Callithrix jacchus: one gene and its partners. The protein of the gene in region 3 interacts with the protein of the main gene of each other region in a pairwise test. Links are inferred from orthologs where the notes say so. Each region holds a gene or a part of one and is shown on either strand. Other genes may lie near its edges. The genes, in order: U2AF2, RNPS1, SRPK2, ZSCAN9 and SNIP1.

The links.
Region 1: the proteins of SRPK2 (region 3) and U2AF2 interact in binary tests that used the Homo sapiens proteins (3 or more experiments, as listed by UniProt). The link is inferred for Callithrix jacchus from reciprocal best matches to the Homo sapiens genes SRPK2 and U2AF2.
Region 2: the proteins of SRPK2 (region 3) and RNPS1 interact in binary tests that used the Homo sapiens proteins (3 or more experiments, as listed by UniProt). The link is inferred for Callithrix jacchus from reciprocal best matches to the Homo sapiens genes SRPK2 and RNPS1.
Region 4: the proteins of SRPK2 (region 3) and ZSCAN9 interact in binary tests that used the Homo sapiens proteins (3 or more experiments, as listed by UniProt). The two-hybrid records come from large-scale screens. The link is inferred for Callithrix jacchus from reciprocal best matches to the Homo sapiens genes SRPK2 and ZSCAN9.
Region 5: the proteins of SRPK2 (region 3) and SNIP1 interact in binary tests that used the Homo sapiens proteins (3 or more experiments, as listed by UniProt). The link is inferred for Callithrix jacchus from reciprocal best matches to the Homo sapiens genes SRPK2 and SNIP1.

The regions. Positions count from the first base shown.
Region 1 is NC_133523.1:48,525,314-48,528,825, reverse strand, and holds part of U2AF2 (splicing factor U2AF 65 kDa subunit), read right to left. Parts: intron 3,355-3,512; coding exon 3,251-3,354; intron 2,873-3,250; coding exon 2,721-2,872; intron 1,447-2,720; coding exon 1,330-1,446; intron 509-1,329; coding exon 370-508; intron 1-369. UniProt on the Homo sapiens protein: Plays a role in pre-mRNA splicing and 3'-end processing. By recruiting PRPF19 and the PRP19C/Prp19 complex/NTC/Nineteen complex to the RNA polymerase II C-terminal domain (CTD), and thereby pre-mRNA, may couple transcription to splicing.
Region 2 is NC_133513.1:4,501,448-4,505,722, forward strand, and holds the start of RNPS1 (RNA-binding protein with serine-rich domain 1), read left to right. Parts: upstream 1-1,466; 5' UTR 1,467-1,524; coding exon of another isoform or gene 1,525-1,526; exon of another isoform or gene 1,527-4,107; intron 4,108-4,275. Other genes in the region: uncharacterized protein LOC144578542, read left to right, coding at 188-1,375. UniProt on the Homo sapiens protein: Part of pre- and post-splicing multiprotein mRNP complexes. Auxiliary component of the splicing-dependent multiprotein exon junction complex (EJC) deposited at splice junction on mRNAs.
Region 3 is NC_133512.1:75,522,106-75,525,617, forward strand, and holds part of SRPK2 (SRSF protein kinase 2), read right to left. Parts: intron 3,472-3,512; coding exon 2,989-3,471; intron 1-2,988. UniProt on the Homo sapiens protein: Serine/arginine-rich protein-specific kinase which specifically phosphorylates its substrates at serine residues located in regions rich in arginine/serine dipeptides, known as RS domains and is involved in the phosphorylation of SR splicing factors and the regulation of splicing.
Region 4 is NC_133505.1:2,889,514-2,893,602, forward strand, and holds the start of ZSCAN9 (zinc finger and SCAN domain-containing protein 9), read right to left. Parts: upstream 2,801-4,089; 5' UTR 2,648-2,800; coding exon 2,443-2,647; intron 716-2,442; coding exon 225-715; intron 43-224; coding exon 1-42. UniProt on the Homo sapiens protein: May be involved in transcriptional regulation.
Region 5 is NC_133508.1:74,105,684-74,109,786, reverse strand, and holds the start of SNIP1 (smad nuclear-interacting protein 1), read left to right. Parts: upstream 1-1,298; 5' UTR 1,299-1,362; coding exon 1,363-1,586; intron 1,587-2,799; coding exon 2,800-2,902; intron 2,903-4,103. UniProt on the Homo sapiens protein: Required for pre-mRNA splicing as component of the spliceosome. As a component of the minor spliceosome, involved in the splicing of U12-type introns in pre-mRNAs. Down-regulates NF-kappa-B signaling by competing with RELA for CREBBP/EP300 binding.

The DNA of each region.
Region 1 (3,512 bases), on a different chromosome or scaffold from region 3:
GCTGACAACTGCTGATGGCACACCCGCCCCGACGTGCAGACTGAGCCCTCTGAAGTCCCACAGCCGCAGACCAGGAAGAGGTCCAGGCCACAAGCCCCTCACTTCCCCAGCACCTTTGGTCTGTCCTGGCACTGCCACGTACAAGCTGTGTGTCCTCAAGGAAGTCAAAGTTTACCGTCCTGGCCCCAGACACCTCCTCTATTAGCAGAGAGCACCCCACTCACAGAGACATGGAGGAAGCAGGTCAAAGAAACCTGTGTTCCAGTACTTACATGACTCCCTACGCCACTCCAGCTGGGCTGAAGTGAAGGATGGGCCAGGGGAAGAGGGTTGAGGGAGATGGGGGCCCTTAATGGATCCCCCACTCACCAGGCACATAGACGGAGGGGTTCTCTGACATGCCAGGAAGCGGCTGGTAGTCATGAGGCCTGCGGATCTTTAGCGACTGGCCCTGGAAGATGATGCCATCAAAGGCCATAGCCTGGGTAGTCTCGTCCACTGAGCGGAACTGCAGAGAGAAAGCAGTGGTGAGGGATGAGGGCAAGGGGCTAGCACAGCCCCACATACTCCAGGATCAGGATTTCTTCTTTCCTTTCACTCATGTCAACAAATGCAACTTATCAGGCCCCGGGCCAGGCACTGGGAGGACGACAGACATGCACGTCCCCGATGCCAGGAGTTCACACTCCACAGTTAGACACCAGGCACCCAACACACACAGAGGCAAACACACAATTGCAGGCTGTGATGAGGAGGGAGGGGCAAAGGGCTGAAAGTGGATGCTGTGGGGAGGTGACAGTACTGGAGTCTTTCTGGTGAGGAGACGTTTCAGCCGATACCCGGAGCAGTGCACCTGAAAGAGGACCTCAGCGAGGCGAGTACAGAGCGAGAGGAAGCGCTGGGAAACCTCTGCAGCAAGCTACCAATGCCCTTCACAGTATTTCACCAGAGAATCAGTCCACCAAGAGTGGTCGATCAAAAACCATGGCCCTTTTCCAGACACTTGAGAAACACTGACATGCAGGACTAGTTAGTAACATCAGTTAGCTGGGGTAAGTACCTCCAGCCAAGTGGGCAGGTGCGTGGTATGTTCTGGGAAGGTCGGTGTGGCCAGGCAGGCCTCTCAAGTCACACAGAAAGCAAAGGGGAGGCAGACAGTAGGATCGGATCTACAGAGCTATTACAGGGCTCACTTTGGCAACCAGGTAGAGAGCGGACTGCAGAGGGTCCGGTGGAAACAGCGCAAGGCAGCTTGCCACACCTCAGGCCTGAGGGACAGGCCCTCCAATCACACACATTGCCTTGACCCCACTCGCTCCCCCTGCTCACCTCCAAAAAGGCAAAATTCTTGTCCTGGTTAATCTGCACAGCCAAGACCGGGTTGCCGGGGGCCTGCGTCAGCCCCCCGAGGCGCATCTGGGCGTTGAAGAAATCCATCATGGCCTCCTGCAGAGGGAATAGGAGACAGGGGGGGGCGGGGGAAGGGAGGTGGAGAGAGGAGGGGAAGGGTGAGAGAGGGAGACACAGAGGGGTTTGGGGGCAAGGGGAGAGGGATGAGGGGAGGGAGGAGTCGGGGAAGGAACAGTGGATTATGGGTGGGGGTGTAGAAGTCAATAGTAGGAACAGAAGCGAGAGAGAAATGGGGAGGAAGCAGCAACAAGAGACGGCCAAGGGCAGGCGGTGGACAGGCGTTGGGGGAGAGCCACAGGGGCCCCGAAAAACCAGGGAAAAGAAGATTGTTCGAGAAAAGGCAGAAGGAATGATGACAACGCAAAATGAAGAAAAACATGAACAGAGATGGAGACAGCACACAGGAAGGGACACCCAGTGGAGACAGACGGAAGAGTGGAGGAAAGTAGAAAGGAAGCAGCAGGCAGGGGCAGAGACGAGCAAGGACAGAAAGAAGAGCAGGACGGAGACGAGCAAGGAGGAGGTCAGAGTGCAGGGGCGGGAGAGGAGGAGTGTGGGGAGGAGGGGCAGGGCGGGAGGGGAGGAGAAAAGAGTGATGTGGAGGAATCTGGCCCTGGAGTCCGGGGGCTGGTTTATCAAATGTAGCAAAGTGCAGGTTGAGAAAGTCAGAATGGACCTTACTTGCCTTCAACGATGGTAGCAAACTTTTTGTTGCTACGAGGGATCTCAGCCCCACAATATTTCACTTTAAAGAGAAATGGAAACAACTCTTTGATCTCGGGATTCTCAGGGGGTGCCACAGGAAGGGGTGGGGGAGAGGGATAGGGAAAAGGAGTGGTGGGGAAGGGGGGAGGTCAGGGGCGATCAAAAATAAAAGAACAGCGACCATGGGAGGGACATGGGGAGAGGATGGGGGACAGGCGGCAGAGAACGAGAGGCGTGTCAGAAAAAAACTGAGGGGCAGCGTGCGTCTGTGTGTGTGTGTGTGTGTGTGTGTGTGTGTCCAAGTCTCCCTCTCTGTCTCTCTCCGACACGTAGGTACAACACGTGGGTACATTATGTGTGTGCTTGATCCCTGGGTTGCTGGAGGAGGTTGGGGGGAGGGGAGACGGGAGAGGGGAAGAGGAGGGAGGGAGGGCCACCCCCAGCCCGGCCCCTGGCTGGCTCAACTCCATCCGTCCGTCTGGGAGGGGGCCGGGGGGTCTTGCAGGAGCAGAGTCTGACCCGTGCAGGTTGGGGAGAGGGAATGGAGGGAAGGGGAGGAGTGGGGAGGGAACAAGGGAGAGGGTGGGGCAGGGGGAGGGCAGTACCTCAGTAATGCCAAAGGGGATGTTGCCGACGTAGAGGCGCCGGGCCTGTCTGGTCATCTGGCTCCCGACCACGGGCACCGGCGTTGGGGTCACAGCCAGACCGTCAGGGGTCATGGTGGGGAGAAGAGCAGTGGCTGGAATCTGGCCCGCGGCTTGAAAGGGGGTAAAAACAGGATAAAACCCCATCAGGGGAACACTCAGTGACCACCCACACTGCACACCAGGAGCTCCCCCCTCAGCAGAAAGCTCCTACAGGCTCTCAGCCTCTAGAACCCTCTCCCCACCCTCGGGGCCCCCAGTCAGTAACTGCTGCTCATGCAAAGCCTAGTTTCCCAATGGCGTCCAGATGGAGGTCTCATTCGCATCAACCATGGGTGTCTGGTCATCTCCTCCTCTAGGGAGGCTTCAAAAGGGCAGAGGCCAGCCAGAAACCCCAGGCTGCACAGCGCCCCACGCGCACACACAAGGCAGCCTGCAGAGAACCCCGCCTGCACCCTCCAGCTCTGGGAGCAGCCCGGCCTCAGACCTACCTTGCATGGCCTTGTACTGCATCGGGGTGATGTGCTCGAAGCCTGGTGGGGGCACATCCCAGTATTTACGGACCTTCTTCTTCTTCTCATGACGGGGGGAACGACTGGGGGAGGTGGGAGGGGAGAGGGGGGCAGGGTAACCTCAGTCTGACCAACAGTGGGCCTCAGAGCCCCTCCCAGGTGCCCTTTCACCCTCCCCCCCACCATGTAAGCTGCACTCTCTCCAGGGAAGGAGAGGATCCGGGACAGGGCCTGGGGAAGG
Region 2 (4,275 bases), on a different chromosome or scaffold from region 3:
CCCAAACCAGACTGGGCCTGCCAACCTCCACCCACAGGAACACACTGGTGACTTAGTGCCGTGGACCCAGGAGGTGACTCCTCCCCCCAGCGGCCTTTGTCCCCAAGTCCTCGGACATCCCTTAGCCCAGGGTGAAGGGTCAAGGGCACACCTGACCCTTGGACAGGGCCAGAGGGAGTGGGTCTAGCCAGGAAGTCAGCAGGAACTAGCGTCCCACACAGGAAGGAGGGCAGTGATAGCAGACCCCGTCCTGGCTGTCTGTCCATCCATCCGCCCACTCACTCCAGGTCGCCCAGCTGCACCCAGCCCCTTTGCTCCGACATCGAAAGTCTCCAAGTCATGCCGGTTCTCTCCTCCCAAAGATCTGCTTGGATCTGTTCCCTTCTCCCATCCTTGCTGCCACGAAGCTGTTCAAAGTCCGAAGCTGAGCGCACCGTCAACCCCTCCACAAACAATCACAGGGCAACGACTGCCCGCCAGGCGCAGCAGTGAACACAACCTGCCCTCTCCGTCTGGGGCGCCAGTGCGGAGCCTCCCGCCTGTGTCTGGGCCTGCGCCCCTACGGCGTCACCCTCTCCCATGTCCCAGCCAGAGGCGCCGCCACCTCTGGGCTCTCCCTGCCGGGACCCCGCACCCGCAGCTGAATGAAGCCTCGGCGCTGCGCCGTTCACACGCTCCGTGCTGCCGCCGCGAAGCTCGCGCGGAACCTTCCCCGCTTCCAGAGAACCTCGGCCCCTGCTGTTACCCCGTCACACGCACCGTTCCTCTCGGGTCTCCGCGGCAGGGCCACCACCCCCAGACGCCCCCCTGTGCACCCCATCTCCTACCCTCAAACTCGTCGCTCCTCCTGCCCACACTGCCCAGCTGCCGCGCCCACCCGGCGGAGCTCCACCTGCGTGGAGGCCGCGTCCACGCGGGCACCCCAAACGCCACCGGTAGGTCTGGAGCACGCGAACGCACGCCCGGCCCCGGCCCATCTCTCCGAGCTGCCTCCACCCTGCGGGTCCCCACGTCGCGCCAAGCAAAGCCGCAGAGCCCGCGCGCCTTTCTTGTACGACTACCCCGCCGCCGCCGCCGCGCGGCCGGGCCCGGGGCCCAGCGTCCGGTGTCGGGGGCCGGAGGAGGCCTAGGCGGGCCCAGAGCACCCGCGCAAGGAAAGGGACTGGGCACGGCCGCGTTAACCCCCTCCGCGCCAGACGACGAGCCTCGGTCATCGCGCGGCCCTACCAGCCTCAGCAGGCTACCCCTGTGCCCGCTGCAGCAAGCGTGCAACCGGCCCGGCCAGTCACAGACTCCTCCGGCCGGGACACACCGCCGGCGGGGAGACACCGCGAGCGCTCCAACGCGGCTCACACACGCCGCCTTGACTCTCTGAACACTTCACCGCTCGCGCCCATTGGCCCAGGCATTTACGTCATCGCTGCGCGCCGGACGGCAGCGTCTTCCCGCTCCTTAACTCTGACGTCAGAGCGGAGCCGGCTTGAGCGGCTGAGAAAGGCAGGAGGAGGTGTCGGCGGCGGGAAGATGTAAGTGGGGCGGAATCCGACCGCATCCGAGCTTTAGGGGTTGCCAGTCAGGCCCGGCAGGAAGCATCGTGAAGCTGGTCCACTCCCCAGCCCCGCAGTGCGGCGGCAGCATGGCGGCGCGGTGCGGACTCTAAAAAGAAAGAGTGTAGCCCGGGGTGGGCGGGGTGGGAGGTGTCGTGGCCGTGGCCCGGAAGTGGTCGGGGCCGCGGCGGACGGAAGGGCGCCTCTGCTTCGTCCGTTCGGCGGCGGCCCAGCCAGGCCCGTGGGACTCTGAGCAGCGGGGAGCGCGGCTTCCGCCCTTGGGGCCCTCCTGCCGTGCCGGAGACCCAGGCCCCCAACGCCAGGCCCTGCCCTAGAAGCGCTCGCGGCCCGGCGCCTGGACAAGGGAGTTGTGAGTGAACGCGGACGGGGAGCGGCGAGGTCGGCGTGTCGGGCCGGTGCCGGCGGGCGCGGAGTTTCTTTGTGGGATACAGTGGAAGGCTGGCCGATCCCCCCATCGGAGGCATTGATTCAAACATGCACTCCGCGAACGTTTCCCGGGCTCCCGTGTGCAGTTCTCGGCGCTAGGCCTGGGGGATGTGGCCCGCTATGGACCGAGCACGGTGGCCTGGCCCCGTTTGATGGGTTAACCCCGGAGGGGTGGATACGGGAAGGTTAAGGTTGCTGGAGGAGAAACGTGGAGTAGGCTTTTTGTCTTGATTTCGCATGAACTGTGCCTGAAATGTACTTTTAAATGGGGAAGGCGCTCTGAAGATTTGTGCCGAAACGCCCTCTCCTCGAGATTTAACTAACTGTTCTCTCCTCTCTCTGGCTGTTGGACGCGCACCTTTCCGGAGGATGGGGGAGGTAACCGAGGTCCTGAGCCGGTACCTGAACTTGTGTGAACAGAGAACCTCAACCTTTGCTTTCTAGCATTCGACCGCACCCAGCAAAGCGTCCGCTTTCTCAGTGGTTCTTAGAGTGCTTAAGAACGGTGCTCCTTGATCTCACGAAGCGAATCAAAGTAGCGGTGTTTGATTTCACAGAGTACATTTGGGCAGATCTTTAGGACTAGGGGGTGGGGCTGGAATATGCGGGTGTGACCTGCACTCTAGATCTGTGCTGTCCAGTGAGGTAGCCATTGGCCCCACGTGGCTACTGAGCATGTTGAAATACAGCAGCTAATCAAAACTGAGATGTTAAAACACACCCCAAATTTAGAAGACTTACTCTGAACAACAACAAAAAAAGAAACCTTTAGATTTTTATGTTGATTATTTGATGGAAAAGTATTTTGGATTTGTGTCAAATGTTAATTAATTTCACCCATTTTTGTGACGTGGCTACTAAGGAATTTGAGATTCTGCTTGTGGCTCCTCACACTATTTCTGTTGGACAGTGCTGCTGCAGATGATCCTAAGGTGGGTGGGTGCGGGAGCCCTGCAGAGAGTTCAGAAATTACGTGGGACTTTGGAGACAAGTGTCTGGGGGGGGGGAAGGAGCCTCTGGACGTGAAGATAAAACCCTTGCTTCTCACATGTATTGAGCCTTTGATTAATGCCCTGCATAACTGTAAGGTTGGAACTGTAGTTGTCTCCATATTGATGATGAGAAACTTGAAAAACGATAAGTGACCTGTTCAAAATTGCACAGTAAAACTTCAAATCAAACCCAGGCCTCCTGGCTCCAGACTGGGAATTATACTCTGATACTCACTGTTTGTCCAAGGACACCAGCCATACCGGGCACTGCCTGCTGGGTGTCTGCAGAACATCACTGTTCTGAGGCAAAACACTATGCCCTGGACAAGAGCAGCAAAGGTGATGTTCGGCCCTCCATGACTCATTTGACAGCTCAAAGCCAGGTGCTCTTCTTTCTTGGTCAGAACACGTTTTCAGCACTGGCATTTCTGCATGGGGAAACCAGAACCCCATTAGTGTGCTGTGCCCTGCTTACGTACAGGCTGTTGGTTGGAGAAGGTGAGACAGAAGTAGCTGAGACTCACATCCTGAGAGCTTTACTTAAAAACTCATGCAGCTTGTGCAGACCTGGCTGGAAATACTGAAGGCAGCAGTCCCTCTGAAATAGAGCCCATAGCTTATTAGCAGTTTGTTTTGAGTAATTTGTTACCATTATTTGAGCACACGCTGCAGTCCAGGCGTTTTGCTAAACTTAAACGTAGGTAGTCTTACGTGGTAGGTAGTCTCTCCCGAAACCTCAGTGCCTACTTTTTTTCTTCAACATCTTATTTTTGAAAAGTTTAAGCACATAGGAAGGTTGAATTATACAGTTAATGCCCACAAAAACCACTTGAGGGCTGGGAGCGGTGGCTTATGCCTGTAATTACAGCACTTTTGGGAGGCCAAGGTGGGCTGATCACGAAGTTAGGAGTTTGAGACCAGGCTGGCCAGTATGGTGAAACCCTGTCTCTACTAAAAACACAAAAATTAGCCAGGCGTGGTGGCACACACCTTTAGTCCCAGCTACTCAGGAAGCTGAGGCAGAAGAATCACCTACACCCAGGAGACAGAGGTTGCAGTGAGCTGAGATCGTGCCAGTGTACTCCAGCCTGGTGACTCCGTCTCGAAAAAAACCCTTAAAAGTTTGTTACATTTCTGCTTTATTTGAAGTAAATTGCACACTTGCATGTGTTTTCCCTACACACTCAGTATGCATATTCCTAAAGTACAGTGTTTGCAATCACTGCTTTTTAAATGTCCATGCGGTACATTTTATCTGTTTGCATTTGGGTGTTAAGTGTTTTGATGCT
Region 3 (3,512 bases):
GGAAACTGTGAGCAGGGGAATGCACTGATTGGATGAGCATACTGCAAAGATATTCCAGTAGCACCATGGAAAGGCAGGCTGAAAAGCAGGTGGGGAGAAAAGCTGGAGACAACACAAAGCCAAGAGACCAGTAAGGAGCCTCTGTAACAGCACAGACAAGCAATAACAGTGCCCACTAAGGGCCAAGGCATGGGGTCCCCTACTTAGGAGGTACAACTGGTAAAATGCGATGATTTACTGGATGTGAGAGAAAAAAAGGAAACATCATGGTCATCAAGTTTCTTACTGGAGCAACAAGAAACAGTGGTAACAAGTATAAGAAATACAGCATGTTTAGCAGGTTGGCAGGGAAAGTTGTATTATGGTTTTTCAATATATTACATGTTATTTATCTACCCTTTCCATTTACCTGTTTTATTTAATTCAGTGCTATTAACAACCCAAGAGTTAGCTATTTCTTTCCTTTGATTGAGGAATAAATCAAGGCTCAGAAAGGACAAGAAACCAAAATTCCACAGTTACTAAGTTTTGAGCTGGGATTTAATCTGGTATGCAGGTGCCTCTCAGTGTCTGCAAGGGGACTGGTTCCAGGAAACCCTGAGAATACCAAAATCCACAGATGCTCAAGCTCTGATATAAAATGGTGTAGTCTTTGCATATAACCTACATACATCTTCCTATATACTTCAGTTGATCTCTAGTTATTTATAGTACCTGCTACAATGTAAATGGTACATAAGTAATTGCTTTAATGTGTTGTTTAGGGAATAATGACAAGGGAGAAAAGTGTGTATATGTTCAAAACAGACACGGGTTTTTTTTCTGCTCCAACTATTTCCCAACTGAGGTTGGCTGAACACACAGATGTGAAATGCACAGATGTAAAACCCATGGATGTGGAAGGCTGACTGTACTTGAAGCCACTCCAGCCCAAGCTAAGACTTGCAAAATAAGTAAGAATAAAAAACGTACTGTGGGCTGATCATGGTGGCTCATGCCTGTAATACCATTAACTTTGGGAGGCTGAGGCACATGGATCACCTAAGGTCAGGCATTCGAGACCAGCCTGGGCAACATGGTGAAGTCCTGTCTCTACTAAAAATACAAAAATTAGTTGGTCATGGTGGCAGGCGCCTGTAATCCCAGCTACTCAGGAAACTGAGGCAGAAGAATTGCTTAAGTCCAGGAGGTGGAGGTTGCAGTGAGCCGAGATTGCATCACTGTACTCCAGCTTGGGCATCAGAGTGGGGGGTGGGGGGTTGGGGGTGGGGAAGGGAGGGAGAAAAGGAAGGAAGAAGGAAAGGAGGGAGGGAAGGAAGGAAGGAGACAGGGAGGTGAGGGGAGAGGATAGGGGAGGGAGGGAAGGGAGAGAGAGAAAGAAAAAGGAAAGAAAAAAGGGAGGGGAGGGGAAAAGGAAAATGAAAGGAGAAAGAAGGAGAGAGGGAGGGAGGGAGGGAAGAAAGGAAAGGAAGGAAGGAGGGAAGGAGGGGCACAGAGAGAAAGAAAAGAAGAAAAGGAAAAGGAAAGGGAAAAGGAAAAAGGAAGGAAGGAAGGGGAAGAGGAAGAGGAAGAGGAAAGGGTAAGGAAAAGGACAGGACAGGATGAAAGAAAACAAAGGAAGGAAAGAAGGAGAAGGAAGGGAGGGAGGGAGGAAAGGAAGTTTGTAAATTACTTTCTATATGAAACTTGTGGCTCACAGCTGTAATCCTAGCATTTTGGGAGGTTGAGATAGGCAGATCGTGAGGTCAGGAGTTCGAGACCTGCCTGGCCAACATGGTGAAACCCTGTCTCCACTAAAAATGCAAAAATTGGCCAGATGTGGTGGCACATGCCTTTAGTCCCAGCTACTCAGGAGGATGAGACAGGAAAATCGCTTGAACCGTGGAGACAGAGGTTGCAGTGAGCCGAGATCCCACCACTGCACTCCAGCCTGGGCGACAGACCAAGACTCTATCTCAAAAAAATAAAAACTTTCACTAAGAGAAAAATTTAACTGCAACAGCAACAATAAATCTGGATAAGGTACATCTCACTACTGCCCTTTCTCAGAAATTAACCTACACTCTATGTAAGCACCTTCAAACACTCCCTATAAAGGGGAATAGGAGCTGACCACGTCCAGCCAAGTGAAGAAAACACATCCTTAGGAGGATTCATCATAGCCAGTTCTTAACAAAGCCAGCTCACTCCTTATCGTGCAATTCCAGCCTGCTGGAACCAAGGGGCTGCAGAATGTCTTGGACTGTTGGCAGGGGTGGCTCATCAATTACTCACTGTGTGTTAAACAGTCTTGACAGTAGAGGGAGCCCAGGAGGTTTCAGAGCTTTCCCACCTTGAGCCAGAATGGAAACCAACTGAGTTACCCAGTTTTCACACACCAGAGTCACTTGGCATTCACTCCCAAAATAAGGGTCTAAATAAGTCAAGGCTTCTTAGGTAGACAAGAACACAAGAGCCAATCTATCATCTGTCATCACATTTAAATCCATGCCAATTCCTTGAAATTCACAATCCTGGGTGGGTTATCAATAACAGGGTCCTATAATCAGGAACAACTATGAAAAGACAATATGACACTTCTTTCCCAACAGAGCCAAAGAGCAGGCATACTTTTCTTGAATAGAAAAACAAAACAAAAACGAAATACAATCATAACAGATGCAAGATACAAATTATACTACACATTCTAGAAAGCTACAGGTGTAAGTTGCTAAAACTGGAAGGTTTCTGCAAATGATGCTGCTGACTGAATATATTAAAAATGACAACTGGTCAGAAATAAGATTTGGTATCAGAGAGCGAGAGATAGCCTAGTGGCACAGAATGTACATTTAAATCACATTACTTGTTCCTGAGTATAAAAGTAATAAAAATGATTAGTGCAAGCATATAGGGGTTGGTCACTTTCAGCCAATTCCTTCATAGCATTTGTTAAAGGCACACCCCGGGAGTCAGTGATGGCAGACAGCTGATGAGAAGAACACTTACCTTTTGGCAAATCCCCAGTACTGGAGGCTGAAACCGTCCTGCTTCTGTCATGGGAAGGACTGCTTTCCTCTTGCTCAGTAAGTGGTGATCCCTCAGAAAGCACAGAACCGCAGGCCACAGGTTCTAAGGATCCAGAGAACAATGAGGTGGAAAACTCTGGAAACTGTGACTCGGGAATTTTATGCCGTCCATTTGGCAATTCACCATTGAATTGTTCATAGGAGCTGCTATATGTGTAATCACTTTCTGCATTTGGCTCATCAAGATTATATTCCTCAGGATTTGGGCAATCTTCTTCATCATCCTCTTCATCGTCCAGTTGCTGCTCCAATAAGAACGGGCCATTCTCAATATGGCCATTGGTTTTAGGTGATTCTATCCACGTAGGGTCTATGTTTGCAAGTTCCTGATCTACATCATCATCATCTTTTTCAATGTTTTCTTTCTCAGTGTCTTCTTTCTCTTCCTGGTCCTCGGCTTCACCTTAAGAAGTTGATGGGTCAAGAATTAGAACTTGTTACTCT
Region 4 (4,089 bases), on a different chromosome or scaffold from region 3:
CTCTTTAGAGAGGACTTCTTGTCTGTGTCTGTGGGCTACCATCTGGGGACAAAAAGACGAGATTTGACTTTTGAAGAAATTAACTGTCTGAAATAAACACTTCCAAGAAAGAAGAACACAGGAAGAAGGTATTTTATTACCAACATCAAGGAGATACAAAGCAGATACAAGGATGCTTGGCATCTCAAAGTAGACCCTTTTCTCCAGCAAATGTCCCTTCCTACCTCATGCTGTGGTTCATCGAGCTCTCTCTCCAGGTCCTCCAGCAAAATCACAGCCTCCTCTCCACTCTCTGGACAGTGTTCCCTCACCCAGCCCTGGAGCTCCTTGGGCAGGATGGACAGAAACTGCTCCAGCACCAGCAGATCCAAAATCTGCTCCTTTGTGCTCACATGTGGCCTCAACCACTGGTAGCAAAGTTCCTGGAGTCGGGTAAGAGCCTCCCTTGGTCCAGGGGTCTCTTGGTAACACAGCTGTCGGAAGTGCCTTCGGAAGATTTCCCTTGCTAGTGGATTACTGCGTTTCAGCCTGGATTCCTGCCTTTGGAAGTGACTTTTTGCTTCCACTTTCATTGTCAGAAGTTCTTCCCATGCCTCAGGAACTTGAATACCCAGGGATAAAACCTCCTTTGAGTTTGTATTCATCTTGACCTTGAACAGCTTAAAAGGTACCCTCCAGCTGGAGCTATGCTTCAAGACACACCAGAGGTGCCTGCCTAAGCAGTAAAAATAATTATTTATACAGAAAAATGGCAATAGCTGATGACAGAAACTGGTAATATAAGCAATTATCACAGACCCTAAAGCTCTTCACTGAAAAGTGGCATAGTAACCAAAGGATGGAAATAATGGTACTATATACATTCATAATGTGCAAAAAGCATAGGCTTTCAAGTTACCCAGATGTGGGTTTTCTTTCTTTTTCTAAAGATGGGGAATTTCACTCTGTTTCCCAGGCTGGAGTGTAGTGGCATAATCATAGCTCACTGCAACCTCAAACTCGTGGGTTTAAGCGATCCTCCCACCTTGGCCTCCCAAAGTGCTCCCGAACTGCTGGGATTACAGGTGTCTGCCACCACGCCTGGCCCAGACCTAGGTTTTATTCTGATCCTAACATTTACTAATTGTGTGACCTTCTGCCAAGTTTTTAAATCATCCTTCAATCTTGGTTTATGTGAAAAATAAATAGCAATAATACCTTACAGAGTTTACGGAGGAAAACAGCCCATGAATTAGGGACTGCACAGGTAACTCAGAAAGGCTGAATAAAAAGTCTGAACTCACTGTATAAACATCAAATTAGAGAAAGAATAAATGGGAATGTTGTTATTGTTGACTAAATGAATGCGCCAACATTTACCTTACTATTTACTTCAGTGTTCTTAATCTTCAAAACAACCATTTAAAGTTGGCATTGCTTTCACTAAATTTACAGAAAGAAAGGCTTAGGTGGACTGTCCTGTGAGCTTTCCACACTGCCCTGGTGCTACTGAAGAGTAACAGTCAACACTGCACCAGTCTACAATATGCTTTCAGGTGCAAGACCGTATTTAATCCTCACAATTACCCACTCAGGTTTTATTATGGTAATTATTTCACTAGATAAGAGATGGAAGCCAGGGAAAGGTAAGTAGACTGCCCAAGGTCAACTTCTTTGTGAGGATAATCTTAAGAAGCCAAAGAAGCCCAAGGGAGAAGTTTTCTCCTCAGACCCAGGCAGCTCCTGAAACCCAGGGGATGTTTCTAAAATGGGTGCCTCCAAAACGTCAGGAAGCAGACCGCGCAGCCGGGGGATCCCAGCCTGACAGGCCCTATGGCAGACGTCCGGGGAATCCGAACTGGGCGTGGAGAGAAGTGCAGCGAGCCCTAGAACATCCACCTTTCACAGGCGCCTCAGTGATCTGTACGTATTGTAAAGTTTGAGAATCAAGGAATTGAGGAAAAGGGAATGAGGAACTGTTACATTCTGCACTTGAAAACCAGTCCATTCAACGCCCCTCAAGTTGCTTTTAGAATCTAGAGGTGAGAGGGTATACAGGGCTCTCCATCTTTTCCTTTCTTTTTTTTTTTTTTGAGCCTTGTTGCCCAGGCTGGAGTGCAATGGCGCGATCTCGGCTCACCGCAACCTCCGCCTCCTGGGCTCAGGCAATTCTCCTGCCTCAGCCTCCTGAGTAGCTGGGATTACAGGCACGCACCACCATGCCCAGCTAATTTTTTGTATTTTTAGTAGAGACGGGGTTTCACCATGTTGACCAGGATAGTCTCGATCTCTTGCCCTCGTGATCCACCCGCCTCGGCCTCCCAAAGTGCTGGGATTACAGGCGTGAGCCACCACGCCCGGCCCAGGGCTCTCCATCTTGCGGACTCCCAAAGCCCTAGTAATCCTTAACTTCCTCTCCCGAGACTTTCTTCCCCGAGTTCTAATCCTGTGGTCGTTACTCACGGAAGTGACCTTTCAGCCTCGCCGTCCTCCCATAACCCTCTCTCGTGTAACGTCCCCACAGTCGGGGACGACCATTATGGACGAGGGAACCCCCGAAGCCGCGCGACACTAACCGCCGCCCCCTCCTCCGGCTCCCACTTCCCGGAGGCTGAAGTTCACTTTCGATACCCCTTTCCCAGCGCCACGTTCCGCGACCCGCCTCCATTCCCGGTCCCCACGGCCAACTCACGAGACCCGGAAGGCGCGAGGAGCGAGCGGGGGTTACCGGTCCGGCGTTGCTAGGAGCTCCGCACGAACAATGGCCTGGCGGGAAAGACGCCGACCCCTCCTGGAGCGCGGACCTGCCAGACGCACTTCCGGGCCGGTCTAGGCCTCCGCGTCTCGATGTCCCGCCTCCGGCGTCCACGTCACCTCTGGCTCCACCCCCATTTTCCTGGCGTCCAGGTCTTCCTTGGCGCGAATCACAGAATCAGAGGGTCTTAAGTGTGGGGCCGCACGCGGGTTTTAAGCGGAAAACGTTGATGAAGCATAGGCCGTTAAGTATTGAAAACGCGGATGTAAAGCATTTCTAAAATGAATGCCTTTCTATGGTTTGAAAAACCCCTCAGTCAATACCCAAATTATTAAAATGTCAGACCCCCCACCCCTCCTTAGTCCCAGTCCCTAAGGCAGCCACTGTCCCCGGTAGCGATGCCGGGCCCGGGTCGCCATCCACCGGGGGAGGAAGAGCGGCCTTCCCCGGAGCTCAGGGCCGCTCTGGAGCGAGAGGCCGCCGGGAGAGCCGGAGCCCCGCGGAGCCCCGCGGAGCCCGCGCCGGGGCTGATTCTCCGCCTGGGAAAGGACCGCGCAGCCGCAGATCCACGGAGCCCTGAACGCCGTCACCTTCTGCTGGTACGAGCAGCTGCTCTGGCGCCTCTGGAGGAAATACGGGGGCCCCTGGCGCCCTGACGAAGCACCGCAGGGCCCCGGCGTGCACACCGGAGACGGCGGGCCGGGGGCCGGCGCCGAGCGGACTGTCCGTGGCCGAGTGCCCGGGGACCCGGGCGTCCGCGCTCACCCCTCGGGCGTCCTGCCGGGCTGGGAGGAGGGAGCCGCGGAGGTGCCGGACCTGGGTGGCGGCGGGGGCTGCGGGCCCCGAGCTGGACGGGGAGGTCAACGGCAGTTCCAGCCCCGACGGCAGGGCTCGCGCCCATTGGAAGCCAGGGCAGCGCCCGGTCCAGCTCCCCCGCCATGCTTTGGCCAATCGCCCAGCCCACCTCCATCCCCTGCCCCGCGCATCCATCACCCTCTCCGTGGACTCCGCCTAGAAGAAGGAGCGTGGGGCGGGGAAGGCGGCCGGCGGCCACCACGGCGGCCTCTCCCAGTCTCTGCCTCCACCCCGCTTCATCCCGGCCCACCCGGCCCCGCAGTCCCAGCTCTTGCCCAATGCCCAGGAGTTCACGTACGAAGGTGGTGGCTCGCCCAGTTTCTTCTCTGATGGCGCCAATGGCCAGGGCAGTGGCACCGCAGCCCACTTTGGAGGCAGTGGGGCTGTCACCGGCAACCGCAGCAGCTTCTACCTGGCCCAGGTATTTGGAGGTGCTGCCAACCGCCTCCTCCTGGAGAAGCCGCCCTTCATTGGAAGGCCTCGGCTACAACCTGAACACC
Region 5 (4,103 bases), on a different chromosome or scaffold from region 3:
ATTACAGGCTGCTGCCACTGTACTTAGCTGTAAATAGCTCTTTTGACAGTATAAGGGTCTCTGGTCAGGTGTGATTACATTATTGGGAGGAGAAGAAAGAAACAATTATTCCTTTTGGTAGTCTGGATATTAGACAGATAAAGTCCTGTGCTTTGGGAGAGACGGTGGATTCAAGGAAGGAACATCGAGGCTTCTTCAGTTCAGCAAGTCAATGTGCCTTATTTTGGGGTTTCAGTTTCTGAGCCCCAACAGCATTGCAGAAAGTTTATTAAACAGAAGAGGAAACGCTAATGATTTGACCATGGGTTCTCATCTCTGATTGCATTTCCATTTCTTTCTCCCTTCTATTTCCAAATGTAAATGTAATTACAGTTTGTGCACAATTTTGTATCCTGCTTTATCGTTAACATGTTTTAGAGTTTGTAAATGGTTTACTAATGGCCACATAACACCCATTAATTTGGCTAACTTCCCTATTGCTGAGCATTTACATTGTTTTCACGTTTTGTAATTACTAATAACGTGGCAACAAACAGCCTTGAGAAGTTTGCTTTTTTCCAGGTTTTTTTTTTTTTTTTGTGATGTCTCTGTCACCCAGGCTGAAGTGCTGTGGTGCAATCCCCGCACGCTGCAACCTACGCCTCCTGGGTTCAAGCGATTCTCTTGCCTCAGCCTCCTAAATAGCTGGGATTATAGGTTTGCACCACCATACCAGGCTAATTTTTGTATTTTTAGTAGAGACAGGGTTTCACCGTGTTGGCCAGGCTGGTCTCGAACCCCCGACCTCAAGTGATCCGCCTGCCTCAGCCTACGAAAGTGCTGGCGTGAGCCACCACGCCCAGCCCTGCTCTTTTTTTTTTTTTTTTTTGAGACGGTTTCGTTCTTGTAGCCCAGACTGGAGTGCGGTGACGCAATCAGCTCACTGCAACTGCAACCTCCGCCTCCCGGGTGCATGCGATTCTCCTGCCTCAGCCTCCCGAGTAGCTGGGATTACAGGCGCACGCCCCCATGCCCAGCTAATTGTTTTGTATCATTAGTAGAGACGGGGTTTCACCGTGTTGGCGAGGATGCTCGCCTGACCTCAGGTGATCCGCCAGCCTCGGCCTCCCAAAGTGCTGGGATTACAGACGTGAGCCCCCGCGCCAGGCCAGAAGTTTGTTTTTGAAACCCGAAACTCCTGCCACCAAACCTAGTCACTGACCACGCTCACTGGGGAGTCGTCACCTGTTTAATCTCTCTGCCGCGAAGATATATGGGAACCGGGGCACCCCGGAAGCGGAAATCCAGGAGTCAAACACGTCATTTCCTTCAGCTAGAGGAGCTCAACGGATCTGTTTTCTTTCGCTCAGGCAAAATCACAGAATGAAGGCGGTGAAGAGCGAACGGGAGCGAGGGAGCCGGCGAAGACACCGGGACGTGGATGTGGTGCTGCCGGCGACGGTGGTGGTGAAGCAGGAGCGTCTCAGCCCGGAAGCCGCCCCTCCCGCCCACCGTCGTCCGGACCACTCCGGCGGTAGCCCTTCCCCGCCGGCCAGCGAGCCGAGCCGCCCGGGCCACCGCGGGAACCGAGCCCGAGGAGTTAGCCGGTAAGTGGGGGAGCAGCCCAGGATGGACCTAGGGTTGGGCTCATTCAGAAAGGCGGGCAGGGCTAGCGTCCGAAACGGGTTTTGAATGCTGGGCGCAGCTAGCCCGGACCTAATCCAGAGGCGGTTGAGAGTGATCCAGTCGTGCCTGTGTTATGCTTGCTCAGTCACTTGCATGATAGCTCGGTGTTCAACGCCTAATGCCTAACTGGCAGGATCCCGTCCCTCCATTCTTGTGTCCCCAGCACTTTGCAAAGTGTGGCTCAGCAGGTAGCACAGATAATCTGTTAAATTGGAATGAGATTCTCCTCATCCCGAATGGAGGAATGGAGTGCGGGCGTTGTCTTTACAATTACCTGCCCAAAAAGTTTTCACGTCGACAGAAACTAAAAAAAAAAGTTCACATAGATTTATGCGTTCCTTCAGCGTAGTTTTACTGAGTGCCTGTTAAGTGTTAAAAGACTGCCCTAGGTTTTGGGGCTGCAAGGGTGATTCAGTTAGATGGTCTTCACCGTTTCCAAATCTAGCCCTGAGACAGACAATAACAAGAAATAAATAAAGTGGGTTTCAGTTAGTAACAAGTATTATTGACAGGTTAAAACAGTACTGTGATAGTGAGAGATTGGAGAGAAGAGGGAGGAGGCCTCTAAAGAGGTGCCATTTGAACTGCGACCTGACTGATAGGAATGATCCAGCCTCTGAAAGATCCAGGCAGAGGAAACAACATGTGCAAAGCACTTGAAGTAGAATGAATCATGATTGAAATGGGAAAAAGCCAGTGTCAGTGGAGTATAGTGGTCAAGCAGGTGGGTGGTAGGAATGAGATGGTATAGGCAGGAAGCAGAACCACAGGATGGATAAATTGTTATTGATGGTAGGGGTGTTGGTAGTGAGGGGTAAAGAGTCAAAGGTGACTTCTGGATGGTGATGCCAATTAACAAGATGGCAAAGAGTAGGAGAGGAAAGGTTTTTGAAGGCTTGGGAACTAAGAGCTATGTTATCTAAGTGAGAAGGTTCAGTAGAGAGTTGTCTTTGTGAGTGTGGAATGCGAGGGAGATGTTAGGGCTAGGAAAGTGAACCTCGTGACTATAATGTGTCTGTCAGAGACCTTCACAAATGTGGTGTTTGTGTTAGTATGTAAGCCTGATACTGGAAGCTAATTTTTATGGGGGAAGGGAAATTGAGTAAAATCCTGTATGTACCATGCTTTGTATAGGTCCCCACCCAAAAAGAAAAACAAGTCCTCAGGGAGAAGAAGCAAGTCTCCTCGGAGTAAGAGGACCCGAAGTCCTCACCACTCAACAGTCAAAGTGAAGCAGGTAAGTGGATTGGGGTGTTTTGATGTTGGGGCCACATAGAGAGCCTTTTCCTATCATAGCTAGAGAGGGCTGTGTATGTGTGTTGTGTGTGTGTGTGCACGCACACTCGCCTACATTTCTACTTGTACTTCCAATGGGCTTTTCTGAAAATTGGGTATATTTCTTTTTTTCTGCTTGTTTGCTGAAATTCACCTTTTTATTTTGAGATTATTGTTGGTTCACATGCAGTTGTCAGAAATAATTCAGAGAGATATACTCTGCCTGGTTTCTCCCAGTGGTAACATCTATTCATAACAGAACTGTGGTACAGCATCACCATCAGAATATTGACATCAGTATAGTCAAGATAACATTTCCTTCACCACAAGGAATACCTCCTGTTCTCCTTTTGTAGCCACACCCACTCATCTCCCACCTTTATCATTCTTTAACTTCTGGCAACTTCTAATCTGTTCTTCATTTCTGTAATGTTTTCATTTCAAGAATATTACATAAATGGAATCATACAATGTGTAACCTAATTTAGGATTGTCTTTTTTTCACTCAGCAGAATCCTTCAGAGATTGATTCAGGTTGCATCTCTCAGTAGTTTGTTCCATTTTATTTCTGAGTGATATCCAATAGCATGGATTTAGCCACTCACTCATTAAAGAACATCTGGCTTGTTTCCATTTTTTGGCTATTACACATAAAGCTGCTATATAGACATTTGTGTATAGGATTATATGCGAACATAAGAGTTCATTTCTCTGGGATAAATGCTCAGAAGTGCAATTGCTGGATTGTATGGTAGTTGCAGGTTTAATTTTTTTAAGCAATTACCAGACTGTTTTCCAGAGTGGCTGTATTAGTTTACTAGGGCCACCATAATGAAATGCCATAGAGTACGTGGTTTAAACAACAGAAATTCATTTTCTTGTAATTCTGGAGGCTAGAAGTCAAAGATGAGGATGTTAGCAGGTCTGGATTCTCCTGAAAAACATCCTCTCTCCTTGGCTTGTAGATGGCTACCTTTTTACTACATCTTCACATGATCTTTCTCCTGTCCTGGTGTCTTTTCTCAGCCATATTGAATTAGGGCCCTACGCTCATTTTAACTTAATCAGCTCTGTAAAGACCTCATCTCCAAATACGGCTATTAATACATTCTGAGGTACTTGCGTTTGGTACTTCAACAAGCTAATTTTGGAGGGCACAATTT